Linked DNA regions of Astyanax mexicanus. The protein of the gene in region 1 purifies or fractionates together with the protein of each later gene. This does not show direct contact. Links are inferred from orthologs where the notes say so. Each region holds a gene or a part of one and is shown in the gene's direction. Other genes may lie near its edges.

What was found.
Region 2: the proteins of clstn1 (region 1) and apba2b purify together in Homo sapiens (affinity purification with western blotting; 3 studies listed by BioGRID and IntAct, with this or other methods). This does not show direct contact. The link is inferred for Astyanax mexicanus from reciprocal best matches to the Homo sapiens genes CLSTN1 and APBA2.

The regions. Positions count from the first base shown.
Region 1 is NC_064420.1:40,642,845-40,649,843, forward strand, and holds the start of clstn1 (calsyntenin-1), read left to right. Parts: upstream 1-3,111; 5' UTR 3,112-3,243; coding exon 3,244-3,343; intron 3,344-6,999. UniProt on the Homo sapiens protein: Postsynaptic adhesion molecule that binds to presynaptic neurexins to mediate both excitatory and inhibitory synapse formation.
Region 2 is NC_064430.1:30,494,382-30,501,380, reverse strand, and holds the start of apba2b (amyloid-beta A4 precursor protein-binding family A member 2), read left to right. Parts: upstream 1-3,489; 5' UTR 3,490-3,603; intron 3,604-6,999. UniProt on the Homo sapiens protein: Putative function in synaptic vesicle exocytosis by binding to STXBP1, an essential component of the synaptic vesicle exocytotic machinery. May modulate processing of the amyloid-beta precursor protein (APP) and hence formation of APP-beta.

The DNA.
Region 1 (6,999 bases):
AGCAGAGGTGAAGGTGACTCCAGTAACCATAAATTATCCACAGGAGAATGTGAGATATTTCACTGTCCAGTCTTATTTTAGGAACTCTCTTGCAGCATGGCAGCATGCCTTTCGTTTTTAGATAGCAGCAGAAATATATATAGTCCTGTAGTAAATATTCAGACACTTCGAAGCCGGTTTCATCAAAACAGCAGACATGAGCTTCTCTAAGCAGCTTTATTGCATTGCAATAAAGATAATCTATCTAAACAAGCTTTGCAAACAAAGAAAAAAAACAAATCTGTTTAATATGAAAACTAAATAATTAAACTAATTATTTGGAAGCTTAATAATATAATTATTAATTATATTAAAGTAATACAATATATATAAAATATATATTTCAGTAATAAAAAAATGACTTAAAATACTGTTTACTCATCTACATACAAAAAACTGAAATATGAAATATGTGCCAAAAGTCATGACATATCAGTATTTTACTTGTTCATTAAGTAAAGTAAGTAAGTTGTGAGGTGCTATCTTGTGGGTAAGGTTAAACACTGGCAACTTGGCAAACCTAGTCTATATACTATAATATAGTATATGGCTAGGTCTAATCCTTGTCTGGGAAACTGCCCCTATAAGTTAATGACTACATCCAGTGTTTATTCATCACTCTTGTATATGACCACCTGTGAGTGCTGGTGCCGCTGCAATAAAGCAGTGTGTATTCAGTGATATTATAGTTCAAAAGGACAACAATAAAAGAGCTGCTGCAGAGAGCCAGAGAGCCACGGGAAGTGTGTCAGGCATTCAGTCTTCATATACAGTGAATGTGTATCGATTCCACAGCCAAGTTCTTTACAAATGACTAAGAATGAAAGTGGAATCAGTACTGATTCAAATGAATGACTTACCTGACTATACCACATTTAATCATTTACCCTCACACTGAATTAAACTGTCACAGGCCACCGCCACAGACCTCCACACAACCTGATAAACAAACCACAATCAGCAGAGCGGATTACACCTGCTGCGTTTATTCCTGCACTGTCTGTCCCTCCCTCCCTCCCTCCTTCTTCCTCTCTCTCTCTGACTGTGTGAGAGATCAGACCGTGCCCACAATAACAGAGCTGCGACGTCACCAAGCACGTAGCTAGCTCCCTGTGGACAAAGCTGAGAGAGAGAGAGAGAGAGAGAGAGAGAGAGAGAGAGAGAGAGAGAATATATATATATATATATACATGCCACTGCCAGAAGGATGGTGAGCAACACTCATCAAGTATGATTCACCCATACTCAACTAAACTCCTCCCACAGTAATACAATAATTATACAAACATGTAAATACCTGATATACCATATTAATTACTTGTTTATAGGGGCAGTTTCCCAGAAAGGCATTAAGCCCAGTCATATGCTGTTATCTTCGTTTATTTTACTGAGAGAGAGAAAGAGAGAGAGAGAGAGAGAGAGATTCAGTCAGTGAGGGTCAGTGAGAGAGTCAGTGTCTGAGTGTAAGAGAGAGAGTCAGTCAGTAAGAGAGAGAGAGTCAGAGAGTGTGAGAGAGAGTCAGGAAGTGTGAGAGAGTCAGTGAGAGAGTGAGAGATTCAGTGAGTGTGAGAGAGGCAGTGTCTGCATGTAAGAGAGAGAGTCAGTCAGTAAAAGAGAGAGTCAGTGAGTGTGAAAGAGAGTCAGTGAGAGATTCAGTGAGCGTGAGAGATTCAGTGAGTGAGAGTGAGAGATTCAGTGAGTGAGAGTGAGAGATTCAGTGAGTGAGAGTGAGAGATTCAGTGAGCGTGAGAGATTCAGTGAGTGAGCGTGAGAGATTCAGTGAGAGTGAGAGATTCAGTGAGTGAGCGTGAGAGATTCAGTGAGTGAGAGTGAGAGATTCAGTGAGTGAGAGTGAGAGATTCAGTGAGTGAGAGTGAGAGATTCAGTGAGTGAGAGTGAGAGATTCAGTGAGCGTGAGAGATTCAGTGAGCGAGAGTGAGAGATTCAGTGAGTGAGAGTGAGAGATTCAGTGAGTGAGAGTGAGAGATTCAGTGAGTGAGAGTGAGAGATTCAGTGAGAGAGTGAGAGATTCAGTGAGTGTACAGCTGTACAGAACCATTCTATTACTCTTTATTATAAATCATATGTTTTTTTTTCTTATAATAATTAATTTAATTGTTTACTTAAACTTGTGTTCAGATTTACCTGTACAGTTATCTTATGTTAAATTTTGTCAGGAATATATATATATTTGTTAATCACAGCTTTGGCAATACAAATGTGAATATTTGTCATGCTAATAAAGCAACTTTGAATTTGAATTTTGAATTTGAGTGAGAGATTCAGTGAGTGAGAGTGAGAGATTCCGTGAGCGAGAGTGAGAGATTCCGTGAGCGAGAGTGAGAGATTCAGTGAGCGAGAGTGAGAGATTCAGTGAGCGAGAGTGAGAGAGAGAAAGAGAGAGAGAGACTCAGTGAGTGAGGGAGAGAGAGAGACTCAGTGAGTGAGGGAGAGAGAGAGCCTCAGTGAGTGCGAGAGAAAGAGAGAGACTCAGTGAGTGAGAGAGAAAGAGAGAGACTCAGTGAGTGAGAGAGAGAGATTCAGTGAGTGCGAGAGAGAGGGAGAGAGAAAGAAAGAGAGACTCAGTGAGTGAGAGAGAGATTCAGTGAGTGCGAGAGAGAGGGAGAGAGAAAGAAAGAGAGACTCAGTGAGTGAGAGAGAAAGAGAGAGACTCAGTGAGTGAGGGAGAGAGAGAGAAAGAGATTTAGTGTGAGAGAGAGAGAGAGACTCAGTGAGTGAGGGAGAGAGAGAGGGAGAGATTTAGTGTGTGAGAGAGAGAGAGAGAGTGAGTGTGAGAGAGAGAGAGAGAGACTCAGTGAGTGGGTGAGTGAGAGAGAGAGACTCAGTGAGTGAGGGAGAGAGAAAGGGAGAGACTTAGTGTGTGAGAGAGAGAGAGAGAGAGAGTGAGAGAGAGAGAGAGAGAGAGAGAGACTCAGTGAGTGGGTGAGTGAGAGACAGAGACTCAGTGAGTGGGTGAGTGAGGGAGAGAGAGAGACTCAGTGAGTGAGTGGTTGAGGGAGGGAGGGAGTGAGAGAGATAGTCCGTAGCGGAGAGCTGAACGGCGGTGGCGGCGGCAGCCATCTTAGATATTAGCTGCTCATCCTGTGGATATTTTCATCGCAGCGCGGGTTTAAACGTTGTCTTCGGGCGGAAAGGGGAGAGTAGTCGCTGGTTCAGCCCCTCGGCGTTTGGGAAGAAGACGGGATGCGGGTTCGCGGCGGGTGTGGGGCTGTGGAGCGCCCTGCGGTCGGGCTGCTGCTCGCTGTGCTGTGCGCTGCTGCTGCGGCGGCGGAGGCAGCTAAAGGTAAGCGGCGGAGCGCTGAGCTCTGAGGCTAACGGCTGAGATTTATCGCTAGCTAAACTAACAGCTAGGTTAACTACGCTTTTCTATCCGAGTGATGGGCTTAAATTGTGAGTGTGTGAGCCGGTATAAGCCTACATTTGACAGGAAATCTGAGTAAAGGAGGTCGGAGGGGTCCTTGAAGGATGCCCTGGTTGTTGTCCAAGCCGAACATTGGATGGATGCTGCTGTGCATTTTGTAGCTTTTTAGCTGTTTTTCAATGTCATTAATTTACGCAAGCCTATTTCGAGTGAAAAATGACCCTCACATTTTTTCTAAATTATATAGAGGTCGGTATTTCGTTTCTAAATGTAGAAAACATAGCAGGTTGGTAAGGTGTCTGTCCTGAGCAGTGGGTGGGACTACACCCAAGGGCTGGATGCTAGCTTAGCTAACCTAGCGTTAACTAACATTAGCTAACCTAAATAGACTTCAGCTGGGAAAATATTTATAATAATCAAATAAAAAATAATAGTTTATTTATTACTATAAATTATGAGCATTCATATGAGTCTCTTGACAGTTTACAGTCTAAAAAAGGACAATATATCACGGTTAATATAGCAAGTATAGGGCTGCGCAATATAGCAATATCTATTATTTCAGTATCGCCATGGCGATATGCACCAATCACCTTTCAGGGTTAAATGTCAAATAAACCAAATTAAATCATATCAGTTACCTAATTTCTTCTGGCATAAACAGCTCTGTAAAAAAAGAGATCACTTCAGTTTCTGAATCAGTTTTTGCTACTTTTTGCTAATCCGTTTGATTGATCTATTTATAGGTATATGTTTGAGCAAAATGAAAATTATTGTTTTATTCTATAAACACCTGATGACATTTCTCCCAAATTCCAAATAAAAAAATTGTAATTTAGACATTTTGATCATTTATTTGCAGAAAATGAGAAATGGCTGGAATAACAAAAAAGGTGCAGAGCTTTCAGACCTCAAATAATGCAAAAAAAAAAAAAAAAACAGGTTCATATTCATAAAGTTTTAAAAAAGTTCAGAAATCAATATTTGGTGGAATAACCCTGGTTTTAATCACAGTTTTCAGGCATCTGGGCATGTTTTCCTCCACCAGTCTTACACAGTGCTTTTGGATAACTTTGTCACTCCTGGTGCAAATTAAGCAGTTCAGCCTGGTTGATGGTTTATAATAATCAATTTTTCTCGTGATTGTATTCCAGATATTTTCAATTTGATAAAATCAAAGAAACTCCTCGTTTTAAGTGAACTTTTTTTCCAGAGCTGTATGCCCACTATAGGCCTGGCATATTAAGAATTTTGTGGACGATATATCGTTTCAGAAATTATCGCGATAAAAGATATTGTCATTTTAAGACCCTTACTATAAGCTTTCAAACGATATATCAAATTTTAACATTATACATTTTTTATGTTAATTCTAATAGTAACACCATTGTTAGACCTATATAAACAACATATATTAGGTAGCATAAAATAAATGAAAAATAAAAAAAACGTCATTTTTAAAAAATAAAATCTGAAGTAAACGATTTTCACAAAAAAAAATGTCCCGCTAAAATGCAGCACAAGTCCATACAATTTGTAGAATACATATCGCAGACCAACAAAATATTGCAGTATCTATTTTGTCCAGTATTGTACAGCCCTACTTCAGCATAATAAAAAACACAACCCTCTATAGTGAATGATCCTTACGTGAATAAACAACACTCCAACAAATATTTTTATATAAGATACAAAAGCCTGTATTTTGTTTGTAGCTAAATGTAGAAATGGTAGCTGGCTACTATCTTTTAGTCAATTTTTTTACTGGTCAGGTTAGTTAAGGTGTCTATTCTGAGTAGAAGGACTACACCTCAGGGCTGTAAGCTAGCAAAACTCTATTTTTTATCTAGGAAAATTTACATTTCATGTTCTCCACTAATTAATTTTTGCTTCATCAATTTGACATTATAAAAGAACAGCTTTTGGATCTATTGGTTTTTTCACACTGTTTATGCTTGTTTTTTAATGTCTGGATCATATTTGGATTTACTTTGGCTGGATTTTGTTTTCACAATTCTCTGAAATGATGGTTGGTTAAGGTGTCCATCACCTATGGTGAGCAGTGAGACTACACCCCAGGGCTGTAAGATAGCTAACTCTAGCTTTTAGCTGGAAACCGCAAGATTTAACCTTAGAAATGTTCTGTGTTCCTATTTCGTTAAGCCTTTCTCCATTTAAATGGTGTCTTCTATGTGCTTGACGTATTGATTTGGCTAGAGAGGTGCGGTCGGCGTGATGTTGCTAGAGAGGAGGAAAAAGAGAAAAGACAAATAAGATTTTGTAGCAGCTGGCAGTGTGTGAGAAGGACGAGGTTATACGCATTGCAGGTCCTGTGTGGAGAACTGTGGAATCTTTGGAGAGGCTTTTTTAAAAATGCATTGGCATTATGATGCGATGCCAGGCAGGGAAGTGGGATGGATGGATAGGTGTGTGTGTGTGGTAGGGTATTGCACGTGCAGGGTAATTAAATGGTGGCTGAGTAGAAGATAAGGAGGGTAGGCTGACCACTAGCTTGCTGGCTTTGAGGACATCTAGGCTGGTGTTCTGCATTAGGACATCTCGTTCTGTAAAGCTCTGCATCTTGCATGAAGCAGAAAAACACAGTGCGCATGAAAGGTGCTTATGAAACATTGCCACCACTGAGGAGCAGCTTGTAATAGCAGGCTGCCTCTTGCGCAGTAACACACTTGCGCGCGCGCGTGTGTGTGTGTTTTTCCCTACAGGATGTAATACCTTAGAGGCCATGCGACGTCACATTAGGGTTATGGATAGGCTGCGCATGTCGCATTTCATGCAAAGGAACCAAACCAAACATCAGGGTGTTTCGGATTGAGCCGCTCTGACAGGGCTCGGCGAATAATAGGCTGATGGGTGGCAATGATTGTCAAAGCATAATGTAGTTGCCATGTGAGGCAGCTGGGAATGCATGACCAGAGGCCGCCAGTCAACATATTGGATAATTAAGGAATTGTTGTGCAGCCCTGGGTGCTCGGTTCTCTCAGTGATCTCAAATCAGCTTATAGAGCTGTGTGTTCTGTTTCCATTAAAGGTGCAGTGATTCATAAAATGCCATACAACATGTTTCAATCCCAATTTTTAGTACATTTTTAATACAGCAAAGAGCAACATTTCAAACTAACAGGTGGTGGTTCATCTGACCAATCCAGAGCTTGTTTACACCCTGCATTATCGTATTGTCCATGTCTGGATCATATCTGGATTTACGTTGGCTGGATTTTGTGTACACATTTCACTGAATCGAGCCCCCAGTGTGCTCTGATACCAGACTGTATTTACTTTCCGGCATAATAAACACATCAACACATCCATCACCTCAGTTTAACTCTCATAACCCACTAAAAGCCAATTTTGTCTCTTGTTGCTACCAATATTTAACATGCTGTCAAATACAGCTCTGGAAAACATTAAGAGACCACTTCAGTTTCTGAATCAGTTTCTCTGATTTTGCTATTTATAGATGTATGTTTAAGTAAAATTAACATTGTTGTTTTATTCTAAAAACTACGGACAACATTTCTCCCAAATTCCAAATAAAAATATTGTCATTTAGAGCATTT
Region 2 (6,999 bases), on another chromosome or scaffold:
GCTCCGGCCGCCTCTGACCCTGTGCCCGCGGCTCCGGCCGCCTCTGACCCTGTGCCCGCGGCTCCGGCCGCCTCTGACCCTGTGCCCGCGGCTCCGGCCGCCTCTGACCCTGTGCCCACTCCCAGAACTTTGTATGCCCCCAGGCCTATCCCCAGGCCTGCTCCCAGGTCACGGGCTCCTAGGCCCGCCCCAAGGCCCCCGGACCTCTGCCCAAGAACTGTGCCCAGGCTGGCCCCTCTAACTACCCCACAGACTTTAGCCAGTCCTGGGCATCCCCAAGTTGTGTTTGTACCCATGTCTCTCCCTGTCCTGGTCCCCGTGTCTGTGTTTGTTCCCGTTCCTGTCCCCGGTGGCTTTCCTGTTCCCGTCCCTGTCACTGTGTTTGTGTCTGTCCCTGTCCATGTATTTGTCCCTGTTCCCCTGCCCAGTCCTGTCCAGTCCCAGTCTCCGTTCCCTGTCCAGTCTCTGTCTCCTGTCCAGTCCCCTGTTCAGCCATGTGTCCTGTCCCCGTCCCAGTCTACATTCCAGTCTCCGTCCCATGTCAAGTTCCCTGCCCGGTCTACGTCTCCTGTCCAGTTTCCATTCCCTGTCCAGTCCTCTGTCCAGTCTCCGTTCGTGTCCCCTGTCCAGTCCCTGTTCCCTCTCTCTCGGCGCCTCTGGAAGTGGCGCCGTTGAGGGGGGGTTATGTTACACCTTAGCCCATGTCTGTGTTATGTTTCTCCCTCATTTGTTCCCTAGTGCTCCTGCCCCTCTGTTTTCCTGTCATGTGTTCACAGCCACGTGTTTCTGTTATGTATCTGTCACGTCTTAGCCCTGCCCTAACCATCAGTGTTCTCACCTGTGTCTTATCTGTAGCCCTGCCCCCTCATCAGCCCTGCCCAGGTGTTCCTCCTGTATTTAAGCCCCTCTGTTTGTACGTGCTGTGTCGAGTCTTTTGTGTTTTCTAGTTTGTGTTTCCTAGCCTGTATATCTAACCTTGTATCCTGTTTTGTAGTGTTTAGCCTTCGTAGCCTAGCCTTGTATCTTAGTGTTTGTATCCCAGTCTTTACCCCAGTCTTAGTCTTAGTTTATGTAATCTGTTTTCTTTTGTTTTGTTTATTTAATAAAAGATTCTTTGCACTTACGTCCTCCTCCTCCTCCTCCTTCACACCCCTCCGTCTTCCGTGACACTTTCCCTCTCTAGCTCTCTCTCTCTCTCTCTCTCTCTCTCTCTCTCTCTCTCTCTTATTTATAAGTAAAAATATTGGGAAGTTTTACATTAAATCATTTAAAAAGAAGAATACATTTATAAAGAATTATACTAAATATGAGATAATAATATTTGGATAGTAAAATTAATAGCTGAACAGTAAAAGTAATAATAATTTATTAAGTTCTCTCTCTTGCGCTTTCTCTCTTTTATAAGTAAATATATTAGCAAATTTTACATTAAATCATTTAAAAAGAGAAGAGGTTTACAAAATCATAAAGAATTATATTAAATATGAGATAATAATATAAAGATAATAAAGATAACTAGTAAAGTAATAATGATTTATTAACTTCTCTCTCTCGCTTTTATAAGTAAATATATTGGGAAATTAACATACATTAAATAATTTAAATATAATATGTTTACAAAATCATTAAGAATTATATAAAATATAAGTAATAGTAAAAGAATGTGCATAGTAAAAATAACAGTAAAAATAATAATGATTTATTAATGATTAATGTCTCTAATGACTCTCTCTCTCTCTCTCTCTCTCTCTCTTTAATGTTACTCCTTATCCAGTTCTTTTTCTTGTTATTCATGTTCCGGGGCTGTGGTCCAGATTCCGGGGCTCATAGCGGTTATTATTGCTGTTTTTTTCTCCGCCCGTTTTCCGACAAGCCCCGCCCCCCCCCGTATTGCGGTTGGCTGGAGGCGCGAACACTGAGCTCTGAAGTGCGCTCCAAAACATCCAACTGCTTTAATTCATTATAACCAATGGCAGCTTTAATTAATTAATTAGTTGTATGTAATGTATTTTATATGTTTGTATTTTTTGTGAGGCAGATATAGAATCATTGAATCATTTTTTCCCTGTGCAAGATATCTAAAAGGTTTTGGAGGGAGCTTCATGATTTGTAAAAGATGAAAGGTCACAACGGGCTAAGCTCTACCACTATAATCAGGAGATCACCGGTTCGAATCCTGATTATGTAGCTTGCCAACAGCTGCCAGAGCCCCGAGAGAGCCCAATAGTCCTTGCTCTCTCTGGGTGGGTAGATAGGGCTCTTTCTCCTCATCACACCTAGGGTGATGTTGATCAACACTGTCCAATAAAAACAAGTATCTCCAATTTCATTCATATTTTATCTGACTACATTGTTTAAACATACAAACTGTACATTACCCTGTGTGAAAATTTATTGATAAATAAACCCATAGAAATTCTCCAAAATGGCCGGAAACAAAGTTAAGAAGATTTTGTCTCTTTTCTGTAAAGTAGCTGTTTTGGAGATGTTTTGGAGATATTTTAATTGGACTGCAATCATATTCATATGGAGTACATGTACACATAGAGAAAGGTGGTGTAAAGCCTTGAATATTAATCCATGTCTGTGCTTTAATTTGTATTTTTTGGTTCATATTTCTTTATTTGTTATTTGAAATGAAGGTCGTTTAATTCAAAACATTTCAAGAACTTTGAAAGTATCCTTAATTGCAGTCGCAAAGAATGATGAAACTGGCTCTCATCAGGACGACCACTAAATTATACCTAATATATATTAAAATAATATATGTTGGTGTGAAGCCTTGAAAATTTTGCTTAATATTTGTTTATTTGTTATTTAAAATGAGGGTCAGTAAATTCGAAGCATTTCAAAAACTTAAGTTACGAAAGTATCCTCAAGTGCAGTTGCAAAGACCATTAAAAACATTCTGATTAAACAGGACTGCACTAGAAATAGACGACCACTAAATTATACATAATATGTATAGAATATAGGGTACCACTTTAAAATTAGACTACCTTAAAAAGGGTTTATAAATGGTTTACACCTAGTTTATTAATGGTTACTAATTATGTTGTAAATGCCTTAAAAATCATTAATAATCAGTTATAACACATAATTAGAAAGGGCAACACTGATGGCTGTGGGTTCACTATTTGGCAAACAACAGGTCATTGTTGCCCTTTTTTACAAATGTGTTATAACTGATTATTAATGATTTTTAAAGGCATTTACAACCTAATTAGTAACCATTTATAAACGAATTGTAAACCATTTATAAACCCTTTATAAAGGTAGTCTTATTTTAAAGTGGTACCGAATATATAACGTGGTGTTAATATTTGTTTATTTGTTATAATGCCCTGATATGTATGGAAAACCTTTTCATGTTCTTCAGTAAATAAAATAAATGAGGGAAAAAAAAGAAACAAAAAAGGAACCAATCACAGCGCAGGGAGGGCGTGGCCTCCGGAATACGGGTGGAGTCAGAGCGCATCGCTTCTCAGAGCATCTCGTACTGAAGCGGCGGCGGCGGCGGCGGCAGGGCGGCGGGTCTGATCCGCGGGCAGCACGGAGCGCTTTACCCGCAGATCTACAGCAGCGGCGGCGGCGGATATACAGGTACTGCTCTCCCTGTGTTACACCTGTACCGAGATAATGCTCATTAATGACCTTTATACCCTGATTAAACAGCGCTTATCCATCCATCAGCCTCACATCCACCCACTACAGCACAGCGCAGCACAGCGCATGCTCTATAAGCTCATTTTTGGGGTTTGTCTTGTTTTAATGGATTTAAATATTAATATAAAAGCTGAAACACTCTATTCAGCCGGAGATGGAGCTGCAGCTGCTGTTTTCTATCACTTCTTCTGATTAAAAGTCTATGGAGATGCTCCTCTGTGAGCTGGGAGGATGCTATCAGTGGTACTTGCCCTGATTAACCCTTTAGTGCCTGTGTTTTTGAGACCTCCGGAACGTCAGTGTAATGATTAAATAATAAATGATCTCAAATAGAAATTAGGAAATTAATTAATATGTAATGAACAATGTTTTTCATTATTTTAAAATAAAGAAAAACATACCAGAATATGTTTTATACACCATTTACTTAGGTAACAGTTTTGCACATAATTGGCTGGAGTCAGCTTAATAAGGTAGAGTCACCTGGAATTCAGGCTTTCAGTTAACAGCTGTGCTGTGCTGTCAAGAGTTACTTCTTAATTATAATCATTTTGAGAGCATCAGTTTTAAAGTTGTGAAGATGTTGATTTGGTATACAGTGAATAGTGAATATTTGAGTAATGTTCTAATCCAGATTATGACAAGAACTACTCAATTATATAAAGAAAAAATACTTTTAAGAAATTAAGGTCAGTCAGTCTGAAACATTTTAAGAACTTTGCATCCTTAAGTGCAGTTATAAAGACTAACAAAAACATTATGATAAAAAAACATACATGAAAACATGTTCTAAACAATGTTCTAAACACATTTAAAAATATATACAAATATTTATATTAAAAACCTGTTCTCAGCGTTACATTTCTGCAATATCTGATATCATACAAAAAAGGGAAAAAACATTAATATACATTAAAATACATTCAAATCTATTGTGTCCAACACATCCTACTATACGAAACAAAAAAATGTGTTATTAACTTTTTATACTTTATATAGACATTTTAGACATTATTATATTCATTAAATGAACTTCTTCTAATAAATATCTTCTGGTAATTAAGTGAAGCTCCAGGTATTAAAGGGTTAAAAACTAACACTGTAAAAGTGATCAGCATTTGAACTGAAGTAAATTCGTTTAGAAATGAATAAATAGCTGGAGCTGAATGGTTTGGCCGTGTTTGTGTTTGGTATGAGGGTAAACTGATCAATCACAGATTCAGTGATGATGATCTACTGTATCTTACAGCATCAGCAGATCAGCCATACCGCAGAAACACCACCATCACAAACACAGTTTCAGTATCTGTCTGTTTACTGAACACAACTCAGATCTAAACTCAGAGATAAAAACACACCTTTCACCCACATCTTTCACCCAAACCTTCTACCCGCACCTTCCACCCAAAGCTTAAACCTAAATTGCACCATCCACCCACACATTTACCTTACACCTTTCACCTGAACCCTCCACCCAAACATTCCATTCACACAATCCATCCAAACCCTCCACCCAGACCTTCTATCCGCCCCTTCCACCCAAACCTTCTATCCGCACCTTCCACCCAAACCTTTCATCAACATCTTCCACCCAAACTTTCTATCTGCACCTTCCACCCAAACCTTTCATCCGCACCTTCCACCCAAACCTTCTATCTGCACCTTTCACCCAAAAGTTTCACTCAATTCCTATACCCAAACCTTTCATCCAATCCCTTTAACCAAGCCTTCCACCAAACCTTTTACCCACAATTTTCACCCAAACCTTCCACCCAAACCTTTCATCTGCACCTTCCACCCAAACCTTCCATCCGCACCTTCCACTCAAACCTTCCACCCTCACCTTCCACCCAAACCTTCCATCCGCACCTTCCACTCAAACCTTCCACCCTCACCTTCCACCCAAACCTTTTATCTGCACCTTCCACCCAAACCTTCCATCTGCACCTTTCACCTAAAAACAAACGCTGTAAAAGTGATCAGCATCTTCTATCTGCACCTTTCACCCAAAAGTTTCACCCAATTCCTTTACCCAAACCTTTCATCCAATCCCTTTAACCAAACCTTCCACTCAAACCTTTTACCAACAATTTTCACCCAAACCTTCCACCTAAACCGTCCACCCAAACCTTCTAACTGCACCTTCTACCCAAATCTCACCATCCACCTGAACATTCCCTCACACCTTTAACCTGAACCATCCACCCGCACCTTCCACTCAAACCTTTACCCAAACCTTCCACCCGCACCTTCCACTCAAACCTTCCACCTGCACCTTCCACTCAAACCTTTACCCAAACCTTCCAACCACATTTTTAACCTGATCCGTGCACCCAGCTCTGTGTGTGGGTACAGCTGCACCCAGTCTGTGTGGGTTTTGCAGAAAGGATGGATACGAATACAGTACAGTACAGATATAGACCAGAGACGAATGAAAAGAGAAAGAGAGTGAGAGAAAGAGAGATAGAGGGAGAGGGAGAGAGAGAAGGGAAAGATTAAAACAGAGGGATAAACAGAGGGTAAAAGAGAGAAGGAGAAAGAGAGAGGTAGATAATGAAAGGAAATATTAAGGGATAGAAGGCATGCTGCTGGATCATTATGCCACTGGGTGGATCTGTTTCTGTGACAGCGACCTGCTGTTAACTTGATCAAAATACCCCCCCCCCCCCTTCCCCCCAATAACCCCACCCATCCCCACCTCATCATCCACCCCCTCCACCTCCACAACCTTTCCTCCGTCACCGTTCCGGCTCTCCGTACGACTCTGGTGATGAAGGACAAACTGTGTTATTTATGCACCAGTGGGGGAATTTTAAATTGGACTCTTGTGGGGGAAAAGAGAGAGAGAGAGAGTGTGTGTGTGAGAGAGAGAGAGAGTGTGTGTGTAAGAGAGAGAGAGAGAGAGAGAGAGAGAGAAGGAAAAAAAATGGTCAAGATGAGGAGAACAGCAGAAATGAGAAAGTGAGATGAAAGTGAGAAGGTGAAGACATAAAGAAAAGTGGAGAATAAAAGATAGAGTAGAAAAAGAGAACAGAACAGAGAGAGAGAGAGAAAATAAAGGGAGAAACAGGAGTTTAAGGGGGAAAAAACAGAGAAAACGTATAGTTAGAGGGGAGAAGAGAAATAAGAATTAGCTAAGAGAATATAGAGAAAAAAAAGAAAAAGAAGTTAGAGAAGAGAGAAAAGTGAGAAATAGGAGATAGAAAAGAGGATAGAGAGAATTGATACTTATATATTTAGTATATATAAAAGAAAAAATAAAGAGTAAGAGGGGGAAATAGAGAGAAACCAAAAATAGAGAGTCAGCAAAAATAATAGAGAAAGAGAAATATG